3 linked regions of the Sus scrofa genome follow. The protein of the gene in region 1 purifies or fractionates together with the protein of each later gene. This does not show direct contact. Links are inferred from orthologs where the notes say so. Each region holds a gene or a part of one and is shown on either strand. Other genes may lie near its edges.

What was found.
Region 2: the proteins of FAM117B (region 1) and DYRK1A purify together in Homo sapiens (affinity purification with mass spectrometry; 8 studies listed by BioGRID and IntAct, counting the BioPlex papers as one, with this or other methods). This does not show direct contact. The link is inferred for Sus scrofa from reciprocal best matches to the Homo sapiens genes FAM117B and DYRK1A.
Region 3: the proteins of FAM117B (region 1) and DYRK1B purify together in Homo sapiens (affinity purification with mass spectrometry; 3 studies listed by BioGRID and IntAct, counting the BioPlex papers as one, with this or other methods). This does not show direct contact. The link is inferred for Sus scrofa from reciprocal best matches to the Homo sapiens genes FAM117B and DYRK1B.

What each region holds. Positions count from the first base shown.
Region 1 is NC_010457.5:106,271,133-106,281,707, reverse strand, and holds part of FAM117B (protein FAM117B), read right to left. Parts: intron 10,371-10,575; coding exon 10,145-10,370; intron 7,414-10,144; coding exon 7,293-7,413; intron 1,320-7,292; coding exon 1,001-1,319; 3' UTR 1-1,000.
Region 2 is NC_010455.5:201,141,637-201,152,211, forward strand, and holds part of DYRK1A (dual specificity tyrosine-phosphorylation-regulated kinase 1A), read left to right. Parts: intron 1-569; coding exon 570-716; intron 717-3,451; coding exon 3,452-3,592; intron 3,593-9,258; coding exon 9,259-9,565; intron 9,566-10,052; coding exon 10,053-10,177; intron 10,178-10,575. UniProt on the Homo sapiens protein: Dual-specificity kinase which possesses both serine/threonine and tyrosine kinase activities. Exhibits a substrate preference for proline at position P+1 and arginine at position P-3.
Region 3 is NC_010448.4:48,308,219-48,319,449, reverse strand, and holds the start of DYRK1B (dual specificity tyrosine-phosphorylation-regulated kinase 1B), read left to right. Parts: upstream 1-4,926; 5' UTR 4,927-5,454; coding exon 5,455-5,884; intron 5,885-7,137; coding exon 7,138-7,301; intron 7,302-8,346; coding exon 8,347-8,466; intron 8,467-8,562; coding exon 8,563-8,751; intron 8,752-9,125; coding exon 9,126-9,273; intron 9,274-10,285; coding exon 10,286-10,572; intron 10,573-11,231. Other genes in the region: FBL (rRNA 2'-O-methyltransferase fibrillarin), read left to right, coding at 654-824, 2,167-2,299, 3,384-3,496, 4,310-4,455, 4,564-4,588.

The sequences.
Region 1 (10,575 bases):
ACAGCCATTTTAGGATCTCTTGGGACTATGATACAGTGATGAGCAAAGGTAGAATGACACCTGTGGTAAAGGAGGGAGCTCATGTGATAAATATCGCGCAGAAAGCCCAAGGGGCTCCTTACTCCTAGCCAGCAGTCAACACTGGGCAGTTAGTTTCCTTTCGGCTCACTGACTTTTAAACCCAGTTCCAAAGATGGGTAAGAACAGATTAAAGCACTTGTCTCCAGACTGTAATTTTTCTGACCACATGGTGAAATGTGTACAGGATTAGTGAAGAAAACAGCAGTTTTACAAATATTTCACCGAAAGCACAAACTTCTGACATCAAAAAACATAAATCACATAATGTACTAATATTGCTTTTTATCTTTTTATATATATAGACTTGTTCAATGCATTTACCTATCAATTCTTGTTTGGGAGAAGAACATAGTCATGAGATTAAGATTGCTGGGGAAATGTCAACAATCCCTTTGGTCCCAAAGCTGAAAACAGCTGAGAAAAGCACACATCTAGAAAGGGAAACAAGAAACAGAGGCCACCAAAGACTCTTTTGAACATCCTGTTTGCTACGTTTCAGAAAATGTAACATTGGTATTATAAAATAGTCATTTTCATATAAAAGATGGTTCTTGCAGCATCATTCACGTCTCCCTTCAGGAATCATGTTTGCAGGGATCAGTTGTTTGTTTGTTTTTTTCAAAGAAGTCTAATTTGAAAACAAAAAAAACAATGTGATCTCGGCCCTCCAAAAGGAAACAATGAGACCTTTTTCTTGTTTCAACCGGTGCTTTAAGGAAAAGCAGGCTAAGCGCTGAGGGCCGGCCTTCACGAGGGAGCAGAGCCATCAGGGGCTGCTCTCTGCCGGAAGCCGCACTGTGACGTCACTGTGGAAAAGCTGGAGCACATCACAGCCAACGGGGAGCGCACGATGCCGTCACTGCCAAGGGATCGAGGAGGTTCTCGGGTGCCTGGAACAATGGCCACGCAGCACTGGGACCTACCCTTCAGCTTCCTCAATGGGTTCTGGTGGTGGGAGGAGAGAGGCCGGTGGAAGGACTGTACTCGTTCCTCGAGAGACTCGGTCTTGCTCTGTGTTTGTAGACAGGGAGGCCACGGCGATGGGCTGCAGCAGAGTGGTCGTCATGCCAGTGGTGACTGTCAGACTGTGGACGGAGCCCTTGAGGGTAAGATCTGGCGTGGGGAGGAGTGGCTTAAGGATGCTGACGAGGCAGAAAGCAGAGCCGCTTTTAGGAATGAAATTCACCTTGTTTTTGTCAGGACAGTAAAAGGCTGGGATTTCATGAAGTTGTTTTGGCCTAGACATAGAATAGACAAGCCAATACTTTTAAGCCACAGAACACCAGAAGTAAGTTTTGTTTTTGGTTTTTTGTTTTTAAAGCAGATAACTTAAAGACACATAAAAAGAAAACAAAATTAAAGCTATGTCCAAAGTTTCAAATGCTGTCTACCAAGGACACATGATTTGAATCACGTATCTTAGAATGCTGGAAGGACACCGGTCTTTGTTGCTGCTCTCAGTGCCCTGGCAAGCCCAGGCACCAGGCAGGTAGCTCAGGGTGAAGACCACTGCATCTCAGTGAAGGTCTAAGATAGCCAATTTGAATCGAGAATTTCCTAAAGCCAAAGAAATCCTAGCTATTTAAAGACAAAAATATATTCCACTAAGATTTTTCCAAAGTTGGTACTATTTTGAGAAGAAAAGGCAAGAAAACTAATGATGCACAATGTCTATCTTTTGCTGAGCTCCCCCCTGCATGAATAAACTTTGGTGGGCATGAGTTCTCCGAGTGCACTTAAAAATCTCTTTGGGAAGTTCTCTTGTGTGGCAGTAGGTTAAGGATCCAGTGTTGCTGCAGCCATTGCGCAGGTTGCAGCTGTGGCACAGATTCAATCCCTGGCCTGGGAACTTCCATATGCTCCCCCAAAAAATATTTGAGGAGTTATCACCGTGGCTCAGTGGAAGCGAATCTGACTAGCATCCATGAAGACGCAGGTTCGACCGCTGGCCTTGATCAGTGGGTTTTGGATCTGGCATTGCTGCAGCTGTGGTGTAGGCCGGCAGCTATAGCTCTGACTTGACCCCTAGCCTGGGAACCTTCCTATGCCTCAGTGCGGCCCTAAAAAGACAAAAAAATAAAATAAAAATAATGATAATAATAATTGAAACAATCCTGTGAGTTAACCATGATGGTTTTCTGAATAACAACATAAACACAAAATCAAAATAAAACTAATAGCAGTCTTTTGTTCTGAAAGTACTTATGGAAGCCAAATCTTTGCCTGTCCCTAGCTGCTCCCGCAAGTTAACCCAAATAGTAGGAATAGGACACTAGAGGTAATGGTATTCTCTGAAAATAAAAATATAAAAAAACTGTTAAAGGAACATGGGATGGAAGTGACACAAAATTAAAAAGAAATTAAAGCGGAAGAACCAAAATAAATCAAGATTCAGGTGGGTCAGAGTTCCCGTCGTGGCTCAGAGGTTAACTTGACTAGGAACCATGAGGTTGTGGGTTCGATCCCTAGCCTCGCTCAGTGGGTTAAGGATCCAGCACTGCCGTGAGCTGTGGTGTAGGTTGCAGACATGGCTCAGATCCCGAGTTGCTGTGGCTGTGGTGTAGGCTGGCAGCTACAGCTCCAATTAGACCCCTAGCCTGGGAACCTCCATATGCCATGGTGTGGCCCTAGAAAACATTAAAAAAAAAAAAAAAAGATTTAGGTGGGAAAACATAGTATGATCATTGTGATAAAAGTATGGTTCTCATCTTTCCTAGTGAAATGGAAAAAGAAAATCCGAGTGTGCTAAGTCTGCACTACATTCTAGAGACCCAAAAATGAAACAATCTACAAGGGACAGAGTAAATATGTAGTTTTTGTGTGGAGGGAGGTACTGGGGGCAGAACTGTATTTCAGTATAATAGGTCTGCTTTATAATCTTTAATGTACTTTGACAAACATTATTCAGAGAACTTATGGATTACTTCAAAGCATCCACAAGCTTTACCAGACTGCCAGAGGTGTCCACAGCGCGCGCGCACACACGCGCGCGCGCGCACACACACACACATACACATGCAAGGTTAAGAACTCCCATAAGCAGCTCTGACATGTTTTGCTGTGTTCTATTCTTTCTTGGATACAATGGAAACTTAATATGTTGAGTAATTTTTTTTTTTTTTTTTTTTGTCTTTTTTGGGCCATACTCTCAACATATGGAGGTTCCCAGGCTAGGGGTCCAATGAGAGCTGCAGTTGCTGGCCACAGCCACCGCCAGAGCAACACCAGATTCAAGCTACATCTGTGACCTACACTACAGCTCAACAGATCCTAGTTCCCGTCGTGGCGCAGTGGTTAACGAATCCGACTAGGAACCATGAGGTTGCGGGTTCGGTCCCTGCCCTTGCTCAGTGGGTTAACGATCCGGCGTTGCCGTGAACTGTGGTGTAGGTTGCAGACGTGGCTCGGATCCCGCGTTGCTGTGGCTCTGGCGTAGGCCGGTGGCTACAGCTCCGATTCAACCCCTAGCTTGGGAACCTCCATATGCCGCAGGAGCGGCCCAAGAAATAGCAACAACAACAACAACAAAAAAGACAAAAGACAAAAAAAAAAAAAAAAAAAAAAAAATCTCAACAGATCCTTAACCCACTGAGCAAGGCCAGGGATGGAACTCACATCCTTATGGGTATACTACTCAGGTTCATTACTGCTGGGCCATAACAGGAACTCCCACATTGAGTAATTTTAAGGCACATGTGTATATGGATAAATCAGGATAAGAAGAGCACACACTCCTCTGCTTTTACTGAGAGGATGGTTTTCAATTCCTTAAAGAAGACTGAAAGTTGAGGTTACGTTTCTATAATTAAATAATGCTTGAATTTTTTTTTGAAGAATTATTAAAGATAACTTTCATTCTTATATTAGGTGAAAAGGGGCTAATCAATTTTTATATGCTCCTCCAAATGAGGCCTAGGTTAATTAATTTAAGGTTATCTTGTTAAAAATCACTTAAGATATGATTGCTAACAGATTTTTGAGGATGAAAAACTCACCACTTCTGAAATACAAATTTTTGACTTCGACATTTTTTAATGACAGAATCTAAAATCAGTGTAATTTCCTTTCTACTTTCATGAAAACAGACTTATGACAGATCTCACACAAAAATCTAGTGCAGACTTGGCACACGGATTTTCTTTTTTCCATTTCATGGAAAGAGATGAGAACCATACTTTTTATCATGTGATCATAATAACCTGTCTAACTGGCACCCCTGTTCAAGAAACAGAACACTAACAGTGAAAAAGCATCACATCCCCCTCCTCCTCTTTCAGCCACTACACCAACCCTCCAAAAGGAATCACTGTTTATTCCACTTAACTTCTAGGAACAGATTCTCTAAGAAATTCATTACTCATCTCTGGGATCTATGACCAGTATCATACTTATGTTACTAAAAGCTGCAAGTACTAATATTACTTCAAAGCTTTCTTTAAGAACCATACACACACAAAAAACACAGTCGCACACACTAAGCTCCTCAGAACCAACTTAAACATTTTATTGTTCCTTGAGAAGTTATTCCAAAAGGATTATATCTCAGAATAGATATAACCATTTGCTAGTGACTTTCTGAGATAGAGATGGTCAGGATGGATAATTATTACACATATTTTCCTACTGATATAAGGAATGCTTTGGCATTTTTTTTTAAAGGCTTATGTAATAGTCTCTCTAAACTTACACATAAATTATCAACTAAGAAATGGTGGTTACAATGGAAAGGAGGGAAAGAAAGGAAAAAAGGGAAGGGGAAGTTATGTTACATATTTTTAAAAAAATCTTTGTATCACAAAGAGGCTGTAATATCTAGGAAATCTAAGGTACCTTAACTAAGGTCAAAGAGTTCATTAACTGGGATCAGGAAACAGTATTTTTCACTTTGTTAAAATGGACTTGCTGGAATTCCTTTTGTGGCTAAGCAGGTTAAGAACCCAACTAGTATCCATAAAGATGTGGGTCCCATCCTTGGCCTCACTCAGTGGGTTAAGGATCTTGTGTTGCCATGAGTTGTGCAGAAATGGTTTGGATCTGGCACTGCTGTGGCTGTGGTGTAGGTTGGCAACTACAACTTGGCTTTGAATCCTAGTCTAGGAACTTCTATATGCCGCAAGTGCAGCCCTAAAAAACAAACAAAAAAAAAACCCACAAAAAAAGGACTTGCTAAGTGCCAACAGCATGGCTATGGTCTGTGCTGTACACCCCCCCCCAAAAAAAAAGCAAAATCTAGTCTTACCCTTTCTGGGCCTAAATCCAACTACATATCTTCTTTTAGGTAAATAAACATACATTTCTAGAAACAAGAAATTAACCCCTCACCCAACTCCATCCCCTGGTTCAGGTCACAGGTCAGAGTTACTGTTTTTTTTTTTTTTTTGTCTTTTGTCTTTTTAGGGCGGCACTCATGGCATATGGATGTTTCCAGGCTAGGGGTCAAATGGGGGCTGCAGCTGCTGGCCTACGCCACAGCCACAGCCACGCCAGATCCGAGCCACATCTGTGACCTACACCACAGCTCATGGCAACACCAGCTCCGTAACCCACTGAGCGAGGCCAGGGATTGAACCCACATCCTCACGGATCCTAGTTGGGCTTGTTAACAACTGAGCCATGAAGGGAACCACTCAAATTGCTTTTTAAGTCGATCAGCCATGTCTCTTCACGCAGGCACATCTGAACTACCAATGAATCAATCAAAGAGCTCAACTCCAAAAGGATCCATGTAAACCATTTGATTTTTACTTAACAGAATGACTTTATTTCTTAAGAACTCTCAAGAAAAAGCCTAAGCCATATTTTCAAAATAAGCATAAAAATCCTATGAGGTTTGTTAAAGATGCATAATCCAGGTCCTACCTACTTCCATATTTTTTACTCATTAGGCCTAGGATGGAGCCTGGGAATCTACAGTTTCAACTAATACCCCAGAGGTGATGATGCAGGGAGTACATGCAGCAGATCTGGAGAAACACTGCTTCAACTCTCTGGCACCAGTAAAGCTTTTAGTCTTCCAAGGTGGGGGGCGGAGGGGAAAGTGGTTGCTAAAACAGTGTTCAATTACTGTCACAAAAGCAGATAGAAGAATGACAGCTGGGTTCTCCTAGTAGAAAGGGTGAAGGGATTCAAAAACAAGGCTCTTTGTGTGGCAAAATTATTCAGAATTTAGGTGAAGAAAGCACTGACAGGAGGGGCATATAGAGGAACAGAAGGATGCAGTCCTTATTCCAACATGTTCATGATGAAAGAAAAAGATAAAATTATGTAACTCAGACAAGGCTGGACCATCTCCACATTGTATGTGAAGTATCACAGGAGAAGCAGAGGGCAGCTATTAGACTTGCAGCAATAGTGAGACGGGAAGGTAAGGTCTAAGTACCATCATCACCTAAATTAGCTCAGTTTCATACACACCACCCTTGGCCATCACTTACAAAGCAAGGAGCCATGACTACTGCAAACACAAGGCTGCAATACTTTCTGAGCAGATTTTGAGTCTAAAATTAAGGGTACTTGACTAGAACACCAGCCAAGAGAAATATATGAGCACAGAAGACTGCTACCAAGGGTACAGACACTATTTTAAACTCTGCTTGTTACATGTTCTTCATGCACAGTAACATGTTTCTGCAAAGTCATAGAAGTCTCTTCCCCACATTGGCAGAAAAAATTTTTTAAAATTTGTTTAAAGAACTGAAACTACAAGAACATTAAAAACTGAAGGGAATCTGATCCTTGAAAGAAGGAAACCCATCCTGGGTGAGATACATAGTCTAGCTTGAATAAATATACTGCTAAGTTCAATATATGATGCTGACTATTTACAGGTTCACAAATAACCACAGATGAAACACTGGGACAAGTGAAGACACGTGAGCAACTGGATATTAGTTGACATTGACCATAACTGTAATTTTCTTTGGTGTGACAATGGTACTGTGGTTATGTAGGAGTGGTTACTTTTATTACTGTGGTTACTTTTAGGAAACAAACATTAAGCTCTATTTAAAGTTAAATATCACAAGGTCTGCAACTTACTGTCAAACAGCTCAGCAAAAACTAACACCAACATACAAGAGACAAAGCAAACAGCAAAATGTTAACTACAGGATCTAGTGGTAGATCCATGAGTGGTCACTGTACTCTTCTTCAGCCTACTCTAAAATTCCCATTACAAAGGTCTGGGGGGAGGTTTGATGGGGGATACTTACGAGCATTCCTCAAAGACTTTGACCCTTTCACAGCCCTCAGGAGGTTCCCTTTTGAACATATAGCTGTTGTTAGGTTTTGGTGAGGTTGCATATTTGGGCAAAGGAGAGTTGTTCCCATTCTCTGCAATAAATGAGATGCTGTATTACTACTATGTACGTGAAAGCACAGTCATACTGTATTTACTCGTCCTTGGCCTCCCCCCACACCATGAACTATTTGAGGGTAGGAACGGTGTTTTTATTCACCCATATCACCCCAAAATGTAACACAATTCCAGGTAAACGGGAGCTACTTACTGTTCGACAAATAAATGAATAAACAAGAGATTTTAAAATTTCTTTTCTACTTACAACTGCCACAGCCTAGGCCCGTATCACTAACTCCTTGGTAGAGAACACTGATTTATGTTGCTGCCTTATTTCTATTTTTTTTTTTTTTGTCTTTTTAGGGGTTATTTCTATTTTGCACACAGCAAATGGGCTCAAATACCACTTCCAATCTTCCCAGAATGAGTAACTGAAATGGTTCTTCACCGGCTACATACTATTTGTGTTTGGCCTGCCCCTCAGAATCCTTCGGTTTGATTTCTCTGCTCCTCCGATTACAATCTCTGTTCCAGGTAGTCAGAGCCATGTGCACACTGTATGCCAAAGACCCTCTTTTGCCTGCAAACTTCCCTATACCTAAGAGGTCCTTCTCTGCTCACTTTCCAAAACCTCCTTCAAAGTCTGGCTCAAAGCTTTTGAAATCTTTCTAAATTAATCCTATTAAAGGGAACACTTCTTTACTCTTGCACTCTAATTCAGTGCTGATGTGCTCAGTTTCCACTATATTAACTTAAAATTCTTGCGATGTTACCTAAGTGCCCTAAATGCACAGTGTGACTGTGTCAACTCACCTACAAACTCCTTACTGGCAGCAGCACAGCAGCCCTTTCTTATAAAAGAAATCACAGAAGCTAAGCAGTCACTAGTCTCCTAAAGTCAAATACAACAGGACACAAAACATATGGAGTGCCTACACATTACTGAAGTAAAAGAACAAAGTATGGGAAATCAAGGGGCAGGTTTTAAGAGCCAAGGTTTCATTTGTGTGGGAGGGGTATAGCTGATTGAGCGCTAAGTACCAGAAGCTGCACTAAACAGTCTGCATTCACTATCCATTTTAATCCTGATAATAAGTGTAAGAAGTAGTTAATTATGGCAACTCCTGAAAAGAAACACGTGGCCCAATCAAAGGACTTAATCCAGTAGGGGTCAAACTTGGGTCCACATGAATTACCTGGGAACACCAAAAACTGCTGCCTGTGTCTTGCCTAAGGGGTGTAGTTTAATTAGCCTGGGATGTTGGCCTGGAATAGCTGTTTTAAGTAACACAGAAGCTGACAATAAAGGGTCCAAGTAATAACATTTTACAACCGCCCACTGTCTGAAGTGACTTCTTCAGAAAATCTTAAAATCCTACAGCACTTGCTATTGTCTTAAAGCTGTAGGTGACTGGCAGTAATGACCAGTCATTGGACATGGAACGTTTTAGGACATTCAGATATTGCAAGTGGGAGGTTCTAAACAAACGGCTACTGAATTGGGCTGTAGAATTTATGTAATAATAAATATCTTGTTACTCTCAAGTTCATATAGCAATAACTCGAATTAGGCTAACAAAATATTTATTGCCCTGATACAGAAAGAAGAAAGGTCATATTTGGTTTGAAAAACTAAGAACATTATTAGTAATTAATATTCAAAGTGCTATGTATCTGATTATTTTCTAAGTCACGTAAGTGGTTTAATACTATTAGTAGCCCCCTCCCATTTTTACTCCAGGCTTGCCTTAAACATTCGTCTTGTATTGATCTAAATCACCTTAATTTTTGTCAGAAATATCACAAATATAGATCCTAGGAGTTTCCATTGTGGCTCATGGACTAATATCCAGGAGGATGTGGTTCTGATCCCTGGTCCTGCTCAGTCAGTTATCGATCTGGTGTTGCCATGAGCTGTGGTGTAGGTCACAGATGCAGCATGGATCTGGCATTGCTGTGGCTGTGGTGTAGGCTGGCAGCTGCAGCTCTGATTTGACCCTTAGCCTGGGAACTGTCATATGCTGCGGGTGCAGCCCTAAAACAAAAAAAAAAAACCTAAAAAAAAAGAACAACTACAAATATAGATCCTAAGGGGGTTCCCTTCATGGCTCAGCAGTTAACAAACCTGACTAGGATCCATGAGGATATGGGTTTGATCCCTGACCTCTCTCAGTGGGTTAAGGATCCGGCATTGCCATGAGCTGTGTTGTGTGTGTAGGTTGCAGACGAGGCTCAGATACTGTGTGGCTGTGGCATAATCAGGCAGCTGTAGCTCTGTTTTGACCCCTAGCCTGGGGACCTCCACATGCTGCAGGTGCGGCCCTAAAAAAAAAGGCAAAAAAACCCCCCAAAAAACCTAAAAAGCACTTCCTTGAAGGGAAGGTTTCACATTCAATTAAAAAGCAGTAAGTTTGTAAAAACAATGACGACCAAGGTGACAGAGAATAAATGCTATTCAGATCAAATGTTTATCTCATTTATATCAAAAAGAATGTTTCTCACTATAAAGAACTTGTACTAGTAAGTGCAAAAAAAGAAAAAATTACAAAAGTTCACAAATCCACCCAACGAGACCATCACCTGGGCACCACAGTAAAACCTACTGTTTTGTATTCCAATTGTTTAAAATCTATGTTTTGAACACATCTCAAGGTAATTATCTTAGTAACCCCTACGTGTGTGCTCTGCTAGAAAATGAACTGAATGCACAATAAAACCGGTGCTATTCACTCAATACTGGGGTAGCCAATTCCTCCTGCACTGTACCTTTATCCCTGGGATCAACGAGAAGGTCATCGGCTGAACAAGGGCTCTCTTCGCTCCCCTCGTTGGAGATGGTGAGAAAGGACGTGGGGGACACAGACTGAGAGCGGCTGCTGTTGTTGCTTCCCCGCTCTGCCCCGCCGGGGGTCTGTGTGTCGATGCTGCGTGTGCTGCTGCTTCTCTGCACGAGGGGTGGAGGCGCACGATGGCCATCCGGAATGTCTTGCGGCTGTTAGAAAATTTTAAAAACATGTATTTTTATCACTGATTTTGAGATTCACCTGGAAATGCAAACCCAATGTTAATCTTTCCCTGCTGTTCCCCAAAACTCAAAAATCAGAATCATACTCAGGCCTAAGGAGAGAGAAGCCTTTGCGCTGCTCTGTTAGTGACATCTCCGTTTAAACCGCCCCTCGCAGGACACTGAGCAGCAG
Region 2 (10,575 bases), on another chromosome or scaffold:
AGGTAGAGAAGCGATTAGTCAGAAATGACACTCAGCTGAATCTTTAGATGGCAGTGTTTCTAGGATTTATCTGTGAAACTAGTACAGTACAGATGTCTGAATCTTCAGTTACACTGTGCTGAGTTTATGACTCCTAATGCTTTAAATTAATGTCAAGAGTGTATTTCATTCCTTAGGTTAGTTTAAATACAATTTAACTGTTAAATTAATGGTAAGCCAAGTACCAGCCATAGCAGGAAAGAATAATTAATAAGGAAATAAATTGTTCTCAAGAATATTTTCCTCTGATAATATTTTCTTTATAATTGTTTAAGATATATCTTGATTACCAGTTAGGATTGAATTAAATAAAAGGACTTGAATTTTATATATTGTGCATTTCACTCAGATTTACCACTCCCTTGAAATGTGTTTAGTTCTTTAAACAATATTCATAGACTAATGTTGAAATCAGTAAATGGAACTCAACCCAGTTGTTTTATTCTGTTAATATTAGATTTGTGTTAATACAGTGCTGACTACAATTAAAACTTATTTTGGAATTAATACTGTTTTGAAATATATTTTAGATATACCAGTATATCCAGAGTCGCTTTTATCGGTCTCCAGAGGTGCTACTGGGAATGCCTTATGACCTTGCTATCGACATGTGGTCCCTTGGGTGTATTTTAGTTGAAATGCACACTGGAGAACCTCTGTTCAGTGGAGCCAATGAGGTATGTGATGGATCGCTTTAAAAATTGTTTCTCTTTTCATGGTTTCTTTTTGTTTTTAATCTCTGACAGTGTAATATGAGAGTTGTTTAGAGGAAAAGATGTCTATTTTACCAACTTAGTCATTCAGGTGTTAGGTCAGTTTTGAACATATTTTATCCATTTTTAATTTTTTCAGTTATCATGTAATGGTGAGTTTAGAATTATGAGATGGAATGTGAGATCTTTCATTCTGCTAATGGAGAACGATAAATTAGATTGGCACATGTTAAGTACTTTGATATAAATTTTACAGATTTTAAGTAAAATTTTCAAGAAAAAAATAATCTTGAAGAAATGAGGGCCTCCCTGAAAACAATGCAAACATCCGTGTAAAACTTTGACAGTATGATTTGAAATAATGCATGACCAGTAGGGTTGATGGATGTTTGATCTGAATAATTTCGGGTAAGTTAGGACTGTAGAATTTTAGAGCTACAGACTAAGTATAATTCTTCTAGTCTGCAGGTTTTCCGTCTGCGTTCTTGGATGGTTTCGAAGGGCAGAGGCAGTGCCTGGCAAGGGGAGGAGGGCAAGAGGGAGAAAGCCCAAGCTCCCTTACAGTCAGAGGAATTGGGCGTTCATTGGTTTTAAAACTATTTGCTTGTGGGGTTCTGTTGTTTTTTGTTTCTTTCTTTCTTTTTTGGCCACCCCAGGGAACATGGAGTTCCTGGGCCAGGAGCCAGATCCTAGTCACAGTTGTGACCAACACTACAGCGGCAGCAATGCTGGGTCCTTTAACCCACTGTACTGGGCCGAGAATCGAACCTGCATCCTGGCACTGCAGAGACACTGCCGATCCTGTTATGCCACATTGGGAACTTCTGTTTTTTGTTTCTTTAAGAGAAGTTAACCATTGCAGATCAGTCCATTCATTTATACATGAGAAAAGAAAGATGGGATTCCCCCTGTGGCTCAGGGGGTTGAGAACCCAACATAGTGTCCCTGAGGGTGCAGGTTGGATCCCTGGCCTGGCTCAGTGGGTTAAGGGTCCAGCTTTGCCATGAGCTGTAGCATAGGTCACGGGCGTGGCTCAGATCCCATGTGGCTCTGGCGTAGGCTGGCAGCTGCAGCTCTGATTTGACCCCTAGTCCAGGAACTTCCGTATACCACAGGTGAGGCCCTTAAAAGAGAGGGAAAAAAAAGACTAACAAAATGTAATAAATTGTACTGGGTTATACAGCTCTTTAATAGCTAGTGTCAGAAACCTGTCCCTTCCTCTTGCCTTTAATTCAATTCACTGTAGCTAGTGAGCTGCTCTTTTCGAGTAACTACCATAGTGTAAAAAATTTGTTGTTGTTTTTGGTCATTTTAGGGCCGCACCCTCAGCATATAGAACTTCCCAGGTTAGGGCTTGAATCGGAACTGTAGTTGTAAGCCTACACCACAGCCACAGCTATGCAGGATCCAAGCCGCATCTGCAACCTACACCACAGCTCACAGCAGTGCCAGATCCTTAACCCACTGATCGAGGCCAGGGATCCAATCCGCGTCCTCGTGGATACTAGTCGGATTCGTTACCACTGAGCATAGCAGGAGCTCCCTGTTTTTCTTTTAGTCATAAAGAATATTACCCTCTTGTCACCTTTTCATGGGCATCTGAAGCTTCAGTGACTTCCACCCCACTCATGGTGGAAGTCACAGTCCTTTGAGTAGCTCGGAAAGCGCCCCGCCCCGCCTGTTCTCTCTCCCACCTGCCCTGCCGCCTCCCCAGCTCTCTCTGGCCCAGCCACATTGCCTTGGCGCTCTCCCGGGCCTGCCCTCACTGCCTTTAGGTTTTGCTTTGCTGTCACCTTCTCGGTGAAGCCTTTCCTGGCACCCTTTTTTTTTTTTTTTGCTGTTTCTAGGGCTGCTCCCGCAGCATATAGAGGTTCCCAGGCTAGGGGGCGAATTGGAGCTGTAGCCACCGGCCTACGCCAGAGCCACAGCAACGTGGGATCCGAGCTGCATCTGCAACCTACACCACAGCTCAAGGCAACGCAGGGTCCTTAACCCACTGAGCAAGGCCAGGGATCGAACCTGCAACCTTATGGTCCCTAGTCAGATTTGTTAACCACTGAGCCACAATGGGAACTCCTGGCACCCTATTTTAAGTTGCAGTTCCTTCTGACTCCTCATCCCCTTTTAATTTTCTTCATGGTTCTTAGACAGATCTAATAAATTTTACTATGTATTTATTTGTTCCTTGGCGATCTCTTCCTCTATGATAGAAACTTTGGGGCAGGGATTTTTGTCTCTTTTGTTTACTGCTGAGTTATAGTGGGCATGGTTTCTATCATATAATAGACACTTGATCTGTTGAATGAATCTGCACTTAAAAAAATACTTTTATTAGGTCCACACTTTAGTAAACCTTTTGTGTGGGGTTATTTAACTAAAACTCTCCCAAAACTTAAAAGTTTAAAAACTCCCTCCAGTCATTCCTTATTCTCCATTGGATCCATGACCACTTGCCATCCCACAGATGTATGTGTTTACTTAATTGTCTGCCCGCCCCTCTGTGGAATGTTGGGTTTCGGGAAGGCCGGGACTTTATCTCTTTTGTTCATTATTATATGCTTAATGCCCAGAGGAGTGCCTGACACAGGAGATGCTTAAGTTATTTATTATTTATTATTTGTGAATGAATGAATTGATGAGCAGAAGTAGGATGGACTACAGTAGAAATTACAGGTTTTTTTATTTTTATTTTAATACAGGTAGATCAGATGAATAAAATTGTGGAAGTTCTGGGTATTCCACCTGCTCATATTCTTGACCAAGCACCAAAAGCAAGAAAGTTCTTTGAGAAGTTGCCAGATGGCACTTGGAACTTAAAGAAGACCAAAGATGGAAAACGGGTAAAAATAAGGGAATATTTTTTTGAGCAGTCACATTTCTTTCATTGAGCTGTCTTTATAGCATATTTTGTTATTTACTTGAAATCAGTGTTACTGGTATCAGTTATTAACAGTAGTTCCATTGATAACTTAGGTACATATTTTCTTCACAAGTTGATTATAGTTTGACCTGAACTGTGTGTATGGACCAGCGTTTGCTTATAATACTCAGAATTTTCTTTGAAGCTTCATTTTGTCTGCCTTTCGTGGCAGCTGATCAAATCACCATGTCCTGTGTCAACAGTAGAATCAGTGACTTTTGTTTCTCATAGTTTGGGTATATAGTGAAGTCACAGGTATAACAGTTCTGCAGCTGTGAACATCAAAATTCATAATTGCAGTAAATGGCTTTTTTTTTTTTTTTTTTTTTTTAAGATGAGAGTAAAGGATTTTTGACTTAGGCAGTTTGTGACAAGAATATGAACCTACTAGGTGGTTCTTTGATTTCAGATTCCTAGCTTGGATAACAGGAATTTCACATCTCTAAAATCTTTGAAAGTGAGGTTTTTAAAACGATAATCTTTTAGGAATTTTTTTTTTAATCTGAGAACTTCTTTCAGATACATAAGCTTTGTCACTTTAATGGCGTGGATGATGACAGTTTTGCATCTTGACTTACACCTCTTTGTTTTATGTATCTGAGAATAATCATAGTTTGTAATTAGATTTTTCTGTTATAGATGAATATAGTCCATAAATATGTCATTTATATACCATCCACCTTGCGACTGTAGTTTTGCATTTTTAACACTTAAGAGATTTTATTTTGCCACCATTTTTATTTGCCCTTGCATTTTAGTGATATTGCCACCGGGTGTCATTTCCAGTGAACTGAAGGTGCTGCTTGTCTTCTGTAATTGACCTTCGTCTATGGAGTCTTTAACTTTTCATATCAAATAGTTTGTTTTTGAATATATTTTTTAAAATATATATGTAATTGTAGCTTCCATAACTGATTTGTGGCTTGCTGCATTTTGCTTTATTCTCTGAAGTTCCAGGCAGTGCAGTATCTGACAGCTAAATTATGCCTACTTTCCATGGAGAAGGAATGGAAAGTACCAAGCTGACATCCTGAGTCCTTTTGCATTTGTCCACATAGCTTATCAATCACGGCCCCTTTTCTCATTGAACCAAAACACAGCCTGGGAGTCCTTGGCTTCATCAACATTCAAGGTAGCCTCCTACCAGTTGATTTCAATTAGCATTGAGGATGCGAAGCCCCCTTTACGTTTCTCTCTCTCTCTCTCTGTGATACCGGCTACTACTTCTTTCTCCAATTTGAGGTTTTGTTGCTCTCTCTCTCTCTCTTTTTTTTCTTTTTAGAGCCACATGTGCGGCATATGGAAGTTCCCGGGCTGGGGTCGAATCAGAACTACAGCTGCCGGCTTACACCATAGCCACAGCAATGTGGGATCCTTAACCTACCCGAGGCCAGGGATTGAAACTGCATCCTCAATGGTTACTAGTTGGGTTCATTACCACTCAGCCACAACGGAAACTCCTGAAGTTTTGTTACTTTTTTGTCCTTCTATATTTTTAATTTTTCTAAATGAAACATCTCATTCCATTTCCCTAATCTCTATCTTATAAAACCAGTTAAGTCACTACAATACTATAAGCTGTCATTTCTCCAATACTGATAATAATTATCATTTATTTTATAATAAATATTTTATTTTATTTGTAATCATTTTGTTCATTTTATTTTTGTTTGCTTTTTAAGGCTGCACCTGTGCCATATGGAGGTCCAGGCTAGGAGTTGAATTGGAGCTACGATGGCCGCTCTTCACTACAGCCACAGCAATGTGGGATCCGAGCCACGTCTGCAGCCTCTACACCATAGCTCATGGCAACACCGGATACTTAACCCACTGAGCAAGGCCAGGGACCGAACGTGAATGCTCGTGGATAATGGTTGGGTTTGTTACCGCTGAGCCACAATGGCAGCTCCAATATTTGTTATTTTAAATTGTTTTGGGGGGGACATTTCAGAAAAGAGTAGATAAATTTTTTCCCTTAAAATTGAAAGTACCTTAACCTACATTTAATATGTATTAATTGTAGATTTTATGAGAGTTTCCTTAGCTGCAGTCAGCAACTGACTGAAGAAACTTAATTTTTAAAAGTATGAAATAATTAGGAGGTCACTTGTGGCACAATGGATTAAGGATCCTGTGTTGTCACTGTGGTGGCTTGAGTTGCTTCTGTGGCCTGGGTTTGATCCCTGGCCCAGGAACTTTCACATTCAGTGGGCGCACGTGGGGGAAAAAAAGTATAAAATAATGATTTCTCTTTAAACTGAAATTTTCAACAGCAATAAAAAATCAAATCTGTAACCAAATGATTAATTGCATTATGAAGGATGCACTAGTTATTTTAACCATAGCTATAAATAAATGTGCATGTGCTGTCCTTGGGTATAATTGTGCAGTTTATTTCCTTAGTGATTTTACTTTTAATTCATCATTTCATGTTTCAAGGACCCTTTTGGCTTTCTAGTAATGATATCCATACCTATTGTATACATACTTTTCTGGTTACCTCTGTCACCATACAAAGATATTTTATTATTATTGACTATATTCCCGATGCTCTGCATTTCATCCCTGTGATTCCTTTATTCCATATCTGGAAGTTTGTACCTCTTAATCTCCCTCACCTCTTTTGCTCATTTTTTAAAAATTAAAGTACAGTTGACTTACAATGTTGTGCCAGTTTCTACTGTACAGCAAAGTGACTCAGTCATACATATATACAAGTGATATATGGTATATATATATATGTATGTCATATATGTATATATGTACATATACATATATATGTATCCTTTTTTTAGTAGATTATTTTCCATCATGATCTGTCCCAGGAGATTGGATATAGTTCCCTGTGCTATACATACAGTAAGATCTTATTGTCTATCCATTCTAAATGCAATAGTTTGCATCTATTAGCCCCAGACTCTCAGCCCATCCCCCTCCCTCGGCCCTCCCCCTTGGCAACCACAAGTCTGTTCTCTATGTCTGTGAGTCTTTTTCTGTTTTTTAGTAGGTTTATTTGTTTCATATTTTAGATTCCACATTTAAGTGATATATGGTACTTGTCTTTCTGACTTCACTTAGTATGAGAATCTCTAGTTGTATCCATTTTGCTACAAATGGTATTATTTTTGTTCTTTTTTATGGCTGGGTAATATTCCCTTGTACTGTTCCCTTTATTAAATATTTCTCTCTCTTCCCCTGGCTGATTTTTATGTAGATTTTTGGTTTTGTTTTTTGTTTTGTTTGAATTTTTCAGCAGTTTGACTATTAGGTCCTTATGTATGATTATGTTTGTATTTAGTTTCCATGGAGTTTGCTGAGTTTGTTAGATCTGTGAGTTGATCAGTTTTTGAAAATCCTCAGACATTATCTTTTCAAATATTTGTTCTGCTTCACTTGCTCTTCTACTAGTTATCATTAAATGTATGTTATAGTGCTTAATATTATCTCAGAGTATGTTCGGTTTACTCATTTTGTTTTCTTTTTTGTGTGATAGTTTGGATAATTTATTTGCTCTGTCTTCTAGTTCACTGATTGCTTTTCTTCTGCTGAGCCTAGTCTCCTGTTAAAATCATTAAATGGAGTCTTCATTTCTGACACTTCATTGTTTGTCTTTTTTAAAACATAATTTTAATCCCCCCCCCAGTCTATCCACATACCTTTTGAACTAACATTCTTTTTTTAATCATAGTTATTTTTAAATGCCTCTTTCAACTTTTGGGTCATTTATATGAGTCCCCCCCCCGCTTGATTATGAACCCATTTTGTTTCTTGTGTCATTAAATTTTTTTTTTTTTTTTTTTTTGCCTTTTTAGGGCCACACATGCAGCATGTGGAGGTTCCCAGGCTAGGGGATGAATCGGAGCTACAGCTGCCAGCCTCCACCACAGCCACAGCAACATCAGATCTGAGCTGTGTCTGCGTTCAAAACCACAGCTCATGGCAACACCAGATCCTTAACCCACTGAGCGAGGCCAGGGATCAAGCCCGTGTCATGGTTCCTAGTCGGATTCGTTTCTGCTGCACCAAGACGGGAACTCCTGTAATGTTTTTAATGTATGCTGGACTTGTCGTATTTAAGAACAGTTGAGGTGGAAGTAAATCTTCTCTCCCTTTAGAAAGAGGCATGCCCCTTACTCCGTCAGGCCACTAGTGTGATGAGCCTGAGTCAGTTTTGTGGGTAGTTTAGCTGAATCTGGGCTTTGTTTGGTTTGTTTGCTTGATTTAGATTTTATTCTCCACTATCTTCATAGGTTTTAAGCAGTGTTTGTGAAGACTCGAGAGATCTTTTATACGTCATTGCCCAGCCAGCAGCCCACTCCTAACTTGGTGCCTCAGGGTGGTCCGTGTCCACCCCGCTGCTCTGGCCTCAGCTTTGCAGAGCGCTGGGGGATCCTTCTTGGATCGTTGCCTGTCCCATCCTTCGGCCTGGCCACCACATAGAGCTGTTAGAAGTTGGTTTGGAGTTGGGCTGGACTCCTTAATCAGATCTATGGTATTTGCTGCTTCTCCCACCATAAGTCTCTTCTCTCCTAGAAAAGGCTTTTCATTTTTTGCTATTACGTTAATTCCAGTTTCTTTATTCCTCAGCTCTCCAATGGCTTTTTTTTAAAAGCAGTGCTTTTTGTGGTTTGTCTTCCTGGCTTGTTCTTGATTTTAGAGTAAGAGCAGTGGCCTCACGAAGATTTCGACACCGTACCTAGAAGCAAAAAATCCACTGATACTGTTCTGAAAAAATTCAGTATTTATAGGGATTTTAAAGGCTATACTGTCATCTGTTTAAAAATGAGTTTCCAGTGGTTCCCTGGTGGTCTAGTGGGTTAAGGACTTAGTGTTGTCACTGCTGTGGCTCAGGTCCCTGCTGTGGCTTGGGTTCAGTCCTTCATCTGGGAATTTCTGTATACCACAAGCACAGCACCGCTCCCCCCCACAAAAAAAACCCCACCAAAACCAAACGTGAGTTTCCAGAAAAATCTCAGCTCATGTTAAGGCAATTTATTATTAAACATATTTTCTAAAGGGAGGCATAAATAATTTGTGTTTGGTTTCTTTATCTGAATATGAGCAGGTAAGTGATTCGCTATTAGGCGTGATTCTCCACAGCTTTAATGAGCCACTGTTACTGAGCAGGCTCACCTAAGTGCACAGGTGCATTGGGCAGAAAAGAGGTTCACGACCACTGCGATGAGCAAAGGCTGGCACACATCCTCTCTAAAGGACCATGTCATAAAGCTTTAGACTCTGTGGGTTTCTGATGTGAATTCTTATGTTTGTCTTGATAGTTCTTAAAAACATAAAAGGCATTCATAGCTGGGCTGTTTAAAAACGGGCTCTGGGCCAAGCTGTAGTTTGCGGATCCCTGGGCTCCAGGATGTTTATCGTCATCTTTGCTCTTAACATTATTTTGAATTTTTCCTAACTATGGCGTGTTTGGTATAGTGATGTGTGAAATACAGGGGATCTAATGGTGAAGCATTCTTCTTAATAAAAGCCTCAACATACCATATGAGTAAGCATGTCTGACGTTACGTAGGCTTTTACATATTCCATGAAATTTAGACAAAGCCCTTTTATTTTCCTTCCCTCTAGGAGTATAAACCACCAGCAACCCGTAAGCTTCATAACATCCTCGGAGTAGAAACAGGAGGGCCTGGTGGGCGTCGTGCTGGGGAATCGGGTCACACGGTGGCTGACTACTTGAAGTTCAAAGACCTCATCTTAAGGATGCTTGACTATGACCCCAAAACTCGAATTCAACCTTACTATGCCCTGCAGCACAGTTTTTTCAAGAAGACAGCTGACGAAGGTACAAACACAAGCAACAGTGTTTCCACGAGTCCCGCCATGGAGCAGTCCCAGTCCTCGGGTACCACGTCCAGCACGTCGTCCAGCTCAGGTCTGCTCTTCCGATGTTACATCTGACTTTGAAATGTTTCTTTTCTTGACAGTGAGGGGGTTATTTTCAAGTGCTTTTAAAGTCCGTTAATGGGTGAGGAGGAATTATTTTTCCTAAATGTATTCTTGGTGGCTAGTAAAAATAAGTTCACCTCCCCCAAAGCTCCAGTACTTAATTATGCGTGTAATACATTCTGCTTGGAGACAAACTCTTTATTAAGCAATTAACAGTTTTTCATTGTTTTTAACATGGAAATACTTGGTCCACGTGCTTGCGTTTTCCCTTGACTTAGTGAAACTTGGTCATGTTTTAGTCCAGCAGTTGGCTGTGAAAGAACGTAGAGAAATGAACGCCTTTTGGGTGTGCTTTCAGGTTGATAGAGATTTTTTTTGGTGATACACTTAGTTTTAATGTTACACTTTTATGATATATACTTGAAAAAAATTTACTTAAAACTCACAAGTTGTATTGTGTCCTGATGCTCAAGGTGGATCGTCGGGGACGAGCAACAGTGGGCGAGCCAGGTCGGACCCAACGCACCAGCATCGGCACAGCGGTGGGCACTTCACGGCCGCCGTCCAGGCCATGGACTGTGAGACACACAGTCCCCAGGTGAGCTGTCGTACCACCCTCTGCCGTGCCGGGGGTAGCAGTGTCGGATGCCAGGTATCTCTGGGACAGTTACGTCATTTAAAGGTTCATAGCTCCCTCATTGGGAAGGTATTCTAACTTCCTTACGGCTAGAGCAGCACATCCTAATAATCTCCTCCCTTCTTGTTTAGAAATAGCTAGCACCTCCTGAGTGCGTGCCAGCTGTCCCTCCAGGCGTTTTCTTCCTGCGTTCTGGCTCATCTACTGTGGCAGCCACTTGAGCCCTGCGCCGTTTGGATTTTCATTTTACAGTGGGCCCTGAGACTTGATAGGTTAGAATAACTTTCTGAGGCTCATGATCTTAATTGCTGCACCCTCCAGCCTCCCGTGATCTTTTAGTATTGATAGTTGTAGATTCA
Region 3 (11,231 bases), on another chromosome or scaffold:
CCTCGCACCGTCTGTCAAGAGCAGCCCTCACGGCCCTTCCCCCGCCCTGTAGGCCCTGCCACTTCTGTGCGGCCAGGCACACTCCTGCCTCAGGGCCTTCCTGCTGGCTCTCCTGCTGCCAGGAAAGCAGGAAAGCACGTCCCCAGCCTCACCGTTGGGTCTGCTTCACTCGGCTCTTCTGGCGCTTGCTCTCATTTTTACCTGCCCGCACCCTGCTCCCCGTGGTCACATGTTCCTGCCTGGTGGGGTCTTTACCATGGAGTCCCCGCAGCCGCTGGCTGCTGTGCCGTAGGTGTGGTCCATCCAGCGTCTCCTCAGCTCCTTGAGGGTGGAGGCCTTTGGTTCCCTGTGTTTCCCCAGTGCCTGAGCATTGGGCCGCACGCAGCACATGCCACCCAGTCGGGGTCTGTAGAGCGAATGCACAGGTCTTGCCTCGTGGTTAAACCTGGGATGACCTTGTTTATGTCTGTTGCCACCCCTTCTCCCTGAGTCAGGAATCTCCCCGAAAGGGCAGGCCCTGCGCCTGTGTGGCTCCATTTGTTTTTTGTACGATGACTGGGCCTCCAGTCCCTTTGGGGGCACCTAGAGTTAAGAGCAGTGGGGTCTTGCAGAAGAGCCCGGCGCTGACTTCCACCCCATCTCTCCCTGCCCAGGAGGGAGATGACAAAATCGAGTACCGTGCCTGGAACCCCTTCCGTTCTAAGCTGGCGGCAGCGATCCTGGGCGGTGTAGACCAGATCCACATCAAGCCGGGGGCCAAGGTGCTCTACCTGGGGGCTGCCTCAGGCACCACCGTCTCCCACGTCTCTGACATCGTGGGCCCGGTGAGTAGGAAGAGCGGGGAGGGAGGGGACGGCCACCTCCTCTGCCAGCCTGACTTAGAGTGCCCGTGAGCAAAAGGAGCAGCTGGAGCCGCATGAGGCCTCATTCAGCCTCACTGCTGAGTTCTTGACCTGGAGGGAAGGGACTTGGGTGTCGGGGCGACCACTGTGAGAGGGGCCCAGAGCCGAGAGTATAGATAGCAGGCTGTCTGAGGTGGCTGCCCACCTTAAAAACTGATACCCCCGAGTTCCCATGTGGCTTGGCAGGTTCAAGAGCTCAACTAGTATCCAAGAGAAAGCAGTTCAATCCCTGGCCTCACTCAGTGGGTTAAGGATCCGGTGTGGCCACAAGCTCCCAGTGTAGGTGGCAGACGTGGCTTGGATCCCACACTGCTGTGGCTGTGGCGTAGGCCGGCGGCTGTAGCTCTGATTAGACCCCTAGCCTGGGACCCTCCATATGCTGCAGTGCAGCCCTAAAAAACAAAAAGGAAACAAACAAAAACTGATACCCCTCAAATCTGGTCTGATTTCTCTTGGAGGAACAGGAGGTGTCAGTTTCTGGGCCTGTGTTTCTTTTTTTTTTTTTTCTTAAGGCTGCACCCATGGCATATGGAGGTTCCCAGGCTAGGGTTCGAATTGGAGCTGCAGCTGCCGGCCTTCGCCACAGCCACAGCCACGCCAAACCCAAGCCGTCTCAGTGACCTACACCATAGCTCATGGCAACGCTGGGTCCTTTAACCCCTGAGCAAGGCCAGGGGTTCGAACCCACGTCCTCATGGATACTAGTCAGATTCTTAACCCGATGAGCCACAGCAGGAACTGCCAGGACCTGTGTTTCTGGGCTGTGGACGGCTCCCTGTTGAGAGGGCGCCTATGCATCTCGCTTCAGGACCTCTCACTCAGCTCTACCGCTGTAGGCTGTGGTTAAAAACCCCCGGCTCCACTGCGGGCTTTTGACGGTGAAGTGGCTTTCAGCTAGTTACTTACCCTCTTGCGCCTCAGTTTGCCCCTCTGGAAAATAGAGTCATTGTGAAAATAAGTGAGTTAATTCCTATTATGTGCCTAAAGCAGTGCCTGGCCCATTAAATATTCTTAGCTATTACGACGTCCTGGTTTTAAGCCTACATTGGAGGCCTGGGCCCTCAGATCTGACCAAGTCGGATTGAATAACCCTTAGCCCATGATTTCACATCTTCTAGACCTCAGTGTGTTCATCTGTAAAGTGATAATAAATCATTAAATGATAGGGATTTGAAGAGATGTGTACAATATGTGACCCCCAAATAGGCACTCCAGCCGTGAGAACTTAGTATCGTTATTTTTGTTTGCTTTTGCTTTGTTTTAGGACGGTCTGGTCTATGCAGTTGAGTTCTCCCACCGTTCCGGCCGTGACCTCATTAACCTGGCCAAGAAGAGGACCAACATCATTCCCGTCATCGAAGATGCTCGGCACCCGCACAAATACCGCATGCTCATCGGTGAGGGGCCCAGGGCTTGGCCCTGGTGGGGGTAGGACAGGTCGCTCCAGGTTTCCTGGATGCGGCCTCCAGAGCCCTGATTTGGATGGAATTGGAGTGGATGCACAGGCCTCTCGAGTCTACAGGAATGGAAAGGGTGGAGAGAGCCCGGTGAGGCTGTGGAGGTGGCCGTCCCACTTCATGTGTCTGGTACCCTCGGAGGGCCCTCCCCCCCAGGAACCCTCCCCCGTCCTTCCTGCCTCCCTCCAAAACACGGTACCTTTCACACTGCCCCCGGCTTGTGTGTAACCTCCTCCTTCAGAGGTCCTCACCCTCCTCTGGGGAGATCATACCCCAGAAAGCACAACTGAGCGTGGCCTGGCCCAGAGGAGCCCGCTGTGAATGTCAATGACCTTGGTTTTTAAAAAAAAAAAAAAAAAAAAAAAAAAAATGCAAAAATTCAGAAGCATAGTGTAAAAATGGAGTGCCTTATAAACCACCCCCAGAGGTAACCGATATGAACATTTGATGTCTGCTTTTCCTGGTTTTTGAAAGTCAGTTTTCATTGCACCATCTTTTCCATTTTTTTTTTTTTTTTTTTTTTTTTTTGACCCACACTGCCTTAAAAATACTGCTTGCATCATCCCCCTGGTTTTTCTTTCTGTGAGTTTTTCCCCGGTGCCTTCATGCCATACCCCTTAGCCTGTGGCTTGTTTTTGTGTGACAGTCCTGCAGACTCTCTTGCCTGTACGTGCTCACCTTTACTTGCCTTTTTGATGACGTGTCTGTCTCCCCCCCAGACCCGGGAGCGTCTCGAGGGCAGGGTCCGGGTCTGACTCGTCTCTCTGTCCCCCACGCCCAGCCCGGGGCTGGCCACAGAGTAGGTGGCAACATGGTTTATAAGAGGAATGAGTGAACGGTGTGATTGAGGGTTTTTTTGGCCCATCTTGGGGGCACTGTGGAGGGAGGGGGATCAATGGGGGGAAGTGAGACTGGAAGCAGGGAGGACTCTGCCCGGAACCTGCTGGTGATGGGGCACAGGCCCCGGGGAGGAGCTGGGACGATCCTGTGGATCCAGCTTGTAAGTGTTACTTCTTTCTCCTAGCGATGGTGGATGTGATCTTTGCTGACGTGGCCCAGCCAGACCAGACTCGGATTGTAGCCCTGAATGCTCACACCTTCCTACGCAATGGAGGACACTTTGTGATCTCCATTAAGGTGCGGGGCATAGAGGAGTCTAAGATGGGGTGGCAGTATCTTCTCTCTATACCTGCCATGTAGCCAGTTAAAACTCGGGCGGGGGCGGGGGGGGGCTTCCCTCCGTCCTAATCCAGTCAGTGTGTTCCCTACCCAGCTCCCTATAAACCACCCAATCAAATAGCAAGTAATGAAAAATGTCTGCAAAACTAAAAACCTTAGGATTTAAAGAGGCAGTAGACCGTCGTGGTTCAGTGCGTGATCCCCACGTATGAGTTTGAATCCCAGTGTGTGTCTTTGAGCAGGTGACCTATATATTATGCCTGTTGCTTCACTTGTGAAATAGCAATGTTAGTCCTAACTCTTTTAGGGTTGATGTAAGGACTAAATTTCTCAATATATGTATGGAGTGTTTAGCCAAGAACCTGGTATAAATACCAGATAAATGCTAGGTACATTTTTAAAAACGTTTTATTTTGAAATACAGAGACCTCTCCAGTGTACTTTCAACCAGATTGAGCCTTTCCTAACCACTTGCTGCATTTGTTTTAGTAATCTCAGCTGCATTATTGCGATTGTTAAAGAGGAAATGGGGGCGGGGAGGGGGGGAAACCAGAGTGGAAATTTTAAACACTTGCCTTTAGATAAATAGAGCTCTGCTGAAGCCTTCCTGTTTCAAACCCAAACTACTTAAAAACTTACCTAACAAAGTCTTTCCCTACATTTCCAAAGCCTATTTTCCAACTTAAAAATTCTACTGGTTTGAAAGAGCACAACAAAGGGAAAACAGCCCCAAACCCTTGCTGCAGACTTCAGACCCTTTTTCTTCTTCAGGCCAACTGCATTGACTCCACAGCCTCTGCTGAGGCCGTGTTTGCCTCTGAAGTGAAAAAGATGCAGCAGGAGAACATGAAGCCCCAGGAGCAGCTGACCCTAGAGCCGTACGAAAGAGACCACGCTGTGGTCGTGGGTGTGTACAGGTAAGCAGGGGGCCCAGTAATCCACCAGAGCCGGGAGTCTCAATACTAGTTAGGAGTACCCCAAAGTGCTTGTAAGTTCTGAGTCCCCGCATCTGTTTCCTCTCACAGACCACCCCCCAAGGTGAAGAACTGAAGCCCAGTGCCATCTGGATCGCGAGAGACTGTGTTGCTACTGTTACACGCGTGTTTTTCTATTAAAAGACTTATGCGTCCTTCTTGTTTGCCGCTGATTGCTTGGCGACCGCTCTTAACGGGGCGCATGCGCCCTTGGTCTACTTGCGTGGTGGGGGCGGGCACTCTCCCGGTGGCACCGCGCGTGCTCGTTTCTTAGCGGGCTCTTACGCAGCCGTAACTTGGATTTCGGCGCTTGGGCGGGGTTCATAGCTTGCTGTGCTGGGAGACCAGTAAGCGCCTCCGAGCGCAGGCGCAGAGTGTTGCCCTGGGTCACGTGAGGAGAAACAGCTTGGGGGGGTGGGGGCGGAGTCCAGGGCGGGGGGGCCGGTTTGTTGTGGTCGCCATTTTGCTGGTTGCATTACTGGGTAATCGGGGCCCTGGCTCGCCGCGTCCGCCGGATACTTTCAGCCAGTGGGCAGGTCTGAGCTCGGGCTTCCCGAGCAGTTTGAGTTCCCTTGCTCGCGGCCTCAGGTAACAACGCGGCTATGGACGGAGCGGCACGCGCTCGCGGGGAGGAGGGTAGTACGGGACCCGCCCTGCCTGCGTCGCCGCGAGACTTAGCACGAGGCCGAGGGAGGAGAGGAGGGGGACGGCAGGCAGGTGCAGGCCTTGCCTGGCTATTCATAGTTGGATTCCTGGAAGGGGCCGAGCCCGAGCGGAGAGAGCTGTCTCGGGAGGGAAGCTGGGAGGGGGTAGCGGGGCCCCGCTCCCGCCCTTTGTTTGGGCTCGGCTCCGCCGGCCGCATCGTCGTCGCCTAGCAACAGCTGTCCTGGACTGTGATTGGTTGAGCTCTTGGCAGTAGTGACCAATGGCACGGTTGTTGCCATGGTAGGTGTGGACTGCCAGGTTCGGTCCAGCCCCGCCCGCCGGGTTCCCCCTGGCCGGGGCGGGCCCCCAGGGTGGAGGGCGGGACGCCGGGGTCCCCGGGGGCAGGTGGCTGCGCTGGGCGGGGCCGGCGGGGCGAGGGTTAACCCGCCCCTCCCCCGTCCACCTGCTTTCCCCTTCCCCCGCTTGCCCCGGGCTGACCCTCGTCTCCTCCTCTCCCCGCCCCCAGCGGCGGCGGCTGCTGTTGTCACCCACCCGGCCGCCTGTCCCGCTTGCCCTCCCCGCCGCGGGGCTTGCCGGGCCGGCCGGGCCGGGACAGGCGGCCGTCTTCTCACCACCGCTACCGCCGCCATGCTGGCCGCTCGCCCACACCACTGGGGGCCCCACCGCGCCCCAGCCCCCCGTGGGCCCCGCGCCAGCCCTGACCCGGGTAGGGGGCGGAGGCTGGGAGAGGGTCCTGGTGTGGGAGGGCCCCTCTGGTGGGGAAGAGGTTTTGTGGGGGAGCTCCAAGAGAGAGGGATCGTGGAGTGCAAGGCTTGACATAGGAGAAAAGGAATGACATGGGAGAAGGCCCGTGACGAGAGGATTTTGGTGTGGCAGATATTGTGGAAGGGGAGAACTCTGTAATATTTGGGAAATTTGGCCGCGGGGGCCTTCTAGGAATGGGCACCGTTGTGGATTGACCCTGGTGTAGAGAAGTGACTGGAGAAAGAGCCCTGACAGAAATACTGGTTGGGGAGGTTGAGGGTAGGATCCATGTAGGAGAGAGAAGGACGATCGGTGGGAAGAGACGCCTCCCCCTTGTTTCCATCCGAAGGAGTGGGGCCTTGATTGGGAGGGGGACCTTGGAATAATCTGGGAAGGGGGAGCCAGGCTGTGACATGGGGGAACCAAAATATGGTTTGACAAATTACATGAGGGGCAGTCCCCGATGGGAGAAAAGATAGGGAAGAAGTCTTGACAGATCTGGGGAGGGGCTCCTGGGAAGGGTGTGCCGGGTGAGAACGCCATAGGGGTAGGACTCTTAGGAAGAGGTCCTCAGATAACCTTGGTGTGGGCAGGAGGTCCCTGAGGACCCTGATCCCCAGGGCCTGCAGAGGATTCTGCTGTGGTTTGGAGGGGGCCCAGAAGACTCAAGTGGTTTGGGAGGATTCCGACTCCAGAGTTCTTTGGATTGGGGGACCTACTGGGAAGGGTAGATTTCGAGATGGAAGGACCTTGCTGGGACGAGATCCTGACATTCAGGGAAGGACTCCAGGAGGGCAGGATCATGTGTGAGGGGCCCTGGGGAGGGCGGTGAGCAGAAATGGGAAGGAGAGTGAACCCTACCGCTCTGCTGTCTGTGGTTTCTCTCTTCTCTTCCCCCCCCCCCCCAATTATTGGTGTCTTTCTGTCCTTTCCTGTCATGGCCCATATCCCTGCCTGGCTCCCAATCATTCCCTTTTCCACGTTCCTCTCTGCCGCCTTCTTCATTTACTTTGTAACCACTTGAGGGGACCCGCTCTGCCTCCCACCTCCACTTCTCTCTTCCCCTTTTTTTATTGCCACCTGTTGCTCTGTTGTATCCTTTTCTTCTTCCCTTTGTGCCCTGCCTTCTTCTTCATGTCCCCCTCTCTCCTTCCTGGCACTGTCCCACACATCCCCTTGTTCCATGTTGTTCCCCTGCCTCCCGCCCGCTCTCAGGTCTCAGCGGCGGTGGCAGCCGAGGTGCAGGATGCGAGAAGGCGCCCCCCGGCCGGGCTCCCGCTCCAGGCCTCGCTCCCCTGCGGCCCTCTGAGCCCACCATGGCCGTCCCACCGGGCCATGGTCCCTTCTCTGGCTTCCCGGGGCCCCAGGAGCACACGCAGGTACGCGTTCACCTGGCTCCTCACCTGCCTGGGGTCGGGGGAGGCTGGGATAGGAGTCTTGGAGCCAAAAAGATGGTACGCTGTCTAGGACAATCTCTGGGGTCCATGAAGGGTGCCAAGGGAGTGGAAGATATAGAGGAGTTGCTGGCAGTCGAGGTTTGGAGAGCCTGAGTTCAAATCCTGGCCCGGGGGGTCGTGTTACTTAGGTAGGTTCTCCCTGCTTCAGTTTCCACTTCTGTCAAATGCAGCCTATAATTACACTTGCCTCCCACGGTTATTGTGTGGCTTGAACACGTTAATGAAATGCAGTTGGAAATGCTCTGAACAGTATCTGGCACATAGTAAATACTCAATAAATGTTCACCAAAGGGAAAAAAAGTCCAGAGAGGAAGATCTAGAGGGGGTAAAAGAGGAGGAGGGTTGAGCCTAAAGGGTCTTGGAGTCAGCAGGGCCTGGGGATGCAGGTCGGGAGCTTCAGGGGTAGAGACTGTTAGGTTTTGAACCGTAGAATCTGAAGCGGGTTGGAGCGGGAGGTCCAGGGTGCTGGATCCAGATCCAAGACCCTTAGGATGAAAAACTGGGCAGAGCTGCACAGGGTGGAGGGTGAGGGTTGGGATGGCCCCAGGGAATGAGGGTAAAGCAAGATAGGGGCCCTCAAGGGGGAATGCCCAGAAGGGGTGGTTCCAGGTGAAGGACTGGGCGGGCAGAGCCCCAGGTTTCTCTCAGATCTCCCCCACGGAGGTTTAGGAAAGAGCGAAAGGGATGGGATGAAAGGTCCGGGGTAAACCGTTCACTCCGTCCCTCTCTGAGCAAATTTCTAATGAACATCTGTGTGCCAGGCCCTGTTCCAGACACGGGACATAAAGCAAGAAGGAGATCAAGTCTCTGTCCTTGGGGAGTTTCCATTCTAGCGGGGTGGTCAGACCATGACCACATGGTCCTGCCTGTGGTCACGAGGAACCAGCTGCCCAGATAGGGCTCCCGCTTGAGGTCGGAGGGGAAGGCCTGGCCTCAGTGCCCACCTGGCCCCCCGCCCTCCCCCCAGGTACTGCCTGATGTGCGGCTGCTGCCGCGGAGGTTGCCCCTGGCCTTCCGAGACGCGACCTCGGCCCCGCTGCGCAAGCTCTCCGTGGACCTCATCAAGACCTACAAGCACATCAATGAGGTGGGCGGGGTGGGGGCCCGGGCTGGGTGCGGAGGGGTCCTGGCCTGCCAGCACAGGCCGCTCACCAGTCCGCATCTCCTGGCCGGTCCCCGGCAGGTTTACTATGCGAAGAAGAAGCGGCGGGCCCAGCAGGCGCCACCTCAGGACTCGAGCACCAAGAAGGAGAAAAAGGTCCTGAACCACGGTTACGACGACGACAACCATGACTACATCGTGCGCAGTGGCGAGCGCTGGCTGGAGCGCTACGAAATCGACTCCCTCATTGGCAAAGGCTCCTTTGGCCAGGTGTGGGATGACCCCGACCCCAGCCGTGCTCCAGGGCTTGGGAGGAGCGGGCACCACTGGTGCTGACCCCCACAGCCAGCGGTTCAGTGGCTTCGCGTTTCGTGCTGGGCCACTCACCAGCACGGTCTGGTTTCCCTGTGCCACGGTTTCTGTAAGAGCGCCTCAGTAACAGGCCCTCCACGTAAGGTTGTTGTGTTTTCTCATGTCCAGCGTTGACACGAGTGTCTGACGATTGGCGAGCTTGCAATTTGGAAGTATTAGTATCGTTGATGGTGGTATGGGTGGGTCTCCTTGGCTGGAGGGCGACGAGTGGTACCTGGCTCTGTGCCTCGCGCCCCTTTGCCCTCGTCTTGTGACGCGCCCTGCCCTGGCAGGTGGTGAAGGCCTATGACCATCAGACGCAGGAGCTGGTGGCCATCAAGATCATCAAGAACAAAAAGGCCTTCCTGAACCAGGCCCAGATCGAGCTGCGGCTGCTGGAGCTGATGAACCAGCATGACACAGAGATGAAGTACTACATAGGTGAGGCCCGCCGCAGGGCTGTGTGGGGATGAGCCACCCTCAGTACCCGAGGGGGCTGCTGTCCTCAGGGCAAGGTGTGGTTTGTAATCCCCCACATCAGTGATTTCTCCTGCCACCCTCACAGTTTTTACCCTATTCACATGACAAAGCTGGTCAAAGTTTATTGGGTGCTCTCTAAGGGTCAGGCTCTGTTGTAAGAACTTTACGTAAGTTTTCCACAGCCCCATGGGAAGGAGCATCATTGCCCACAGCTTGGAGATGAAGAAACAGAGGCACTTAGGTGCTGTCACTTGCGTAAGATCGAGGTGTTTGTACTCAGTAGAGCTATGATTTGGCCAGACAGTGGATTCCAGAGCCTCCACTCTAAACGCCTCTGCTGGGTTTTTTCCTCTTTCCTGTACTGCTTCCTCTTAAGAAAAAGAAAGTGGATTTAAGGAGTGTGTTTCTTTTAAAAGGAAAATGCACCTCCTTACAGTAAATGGAAAGCAAGTATCCTTTGTCACAAAATAAACAGAACTGAGACTAAAACAATGTTATAAAATTAAACGGGGAAGTGTAGGGATGGTGTTAAAGACCCATCAGCACCGAATGGAAACTTTCTCTTTGGTTTAAATCAGAAAATGTGAGAGACTTGAAAAGCGAGCTAACTTAACTTCCTGTGTGAATCAGATTATAGACATAAAAACATCCTCAAGAAACAAAACAAAAAACCTCCCAGGGGGTTCCGTGGTGGTTCAGCGGGTGAAACATTCAGCGTTGTCGCTGCAGCCACCGGGTCGCTGCTGTGGCACAGGCACAGGTTCGATCCCTGGCCAGGGAACTTGCTCCTGCCATGGACACAACCAAAAAAAATAAGTAAATGAAATAAAATCCTGGCTAGCAGAACAGTTTGGCCTGTGCTCCAGAAGCAGAGACAAAGATCTCTTTATTATTGGGTACCCCAGGCCGCCACCGGCCCTCTCTCAGCCTTAATTTCTTCTCCTTCGGCCCATTTTCGCCTCCTTGCCAACAGTGCACCTGAAGCGGCACTTCATGTTCCGGAACCACCTGTGCCTGGTGTTCGAGCTGCTTTCCTACAACCTGTACGACCTCCTGCGCAACACGCACTTCCGCGGCGTCTCACTGAACCTGACGCGGAAGCTGGCGCAGCAGCTCTGCACGGCGCTGCTCTTCCTGGCCACGCCTGAGCTCAGCATCATTCACTGCGACCTCAAGCCCGAGAACATCCTGCTCTGCAACCCCAAGCGCAGCGCCATCAAGATAGTGGACTTTGGCAGCTCCTGCCAGCTCGGCCAGCGGGTGCGGCCCGGGGCGGGGCTAGAGGTGTGGGTGTGGCCAGAGAGTGGGCGGGGCCGACGGAGGACCAGGACGGGATTGGATGGTCGCGTGCAGCGGCCCGAGGGTAGTGCTTGGGACAGGGTGTCTGCAAGTACAGAGGGTGGGGTCATTGGGTGAAGAGGGTGATGGAGAGGGCCTTGGGGTGTCCTGCCCGAAGGACAGCGAAGAGTGGAGCCCGAGAGGACGAAGCCCGGGGCCAGTTTTGAGGCTGCCAGAATGGGGGAGGGGGAGGAGGAGTTGGGTGCCTTTGAGCCTGGGGTGGCACTTTGCTCCGTTTGTTTACCTTGTGCTCTTAAAGCTGGGGAGGGAAGAGGACAGGGCTCGTCAGCTTTGCAGCTTCCGGTGAGAAGGCCTTTGAGAAGACGCTGGTAGTGGTTTGAAAGGGTCTGGATTGGAAGGGTGGGAAGAGGCTAGGTCTGCGGATTGCCGGATCCTGGTGACCCATAGGGGCTCAGGGTCAGGCCAGGGGATGGAGATCGGGATCAGACTAGGCCAGCAGAGACTCCTGAAACTGATGAGTGAGGTAGTGGCAGCAATCCTTGGGAGGTTGTGCTGAAAACATCAGGGTTTGAAGACCCCCATCCCCAGTTCTGGAGGCAGGAGGCTTGTGCACAGTCAGT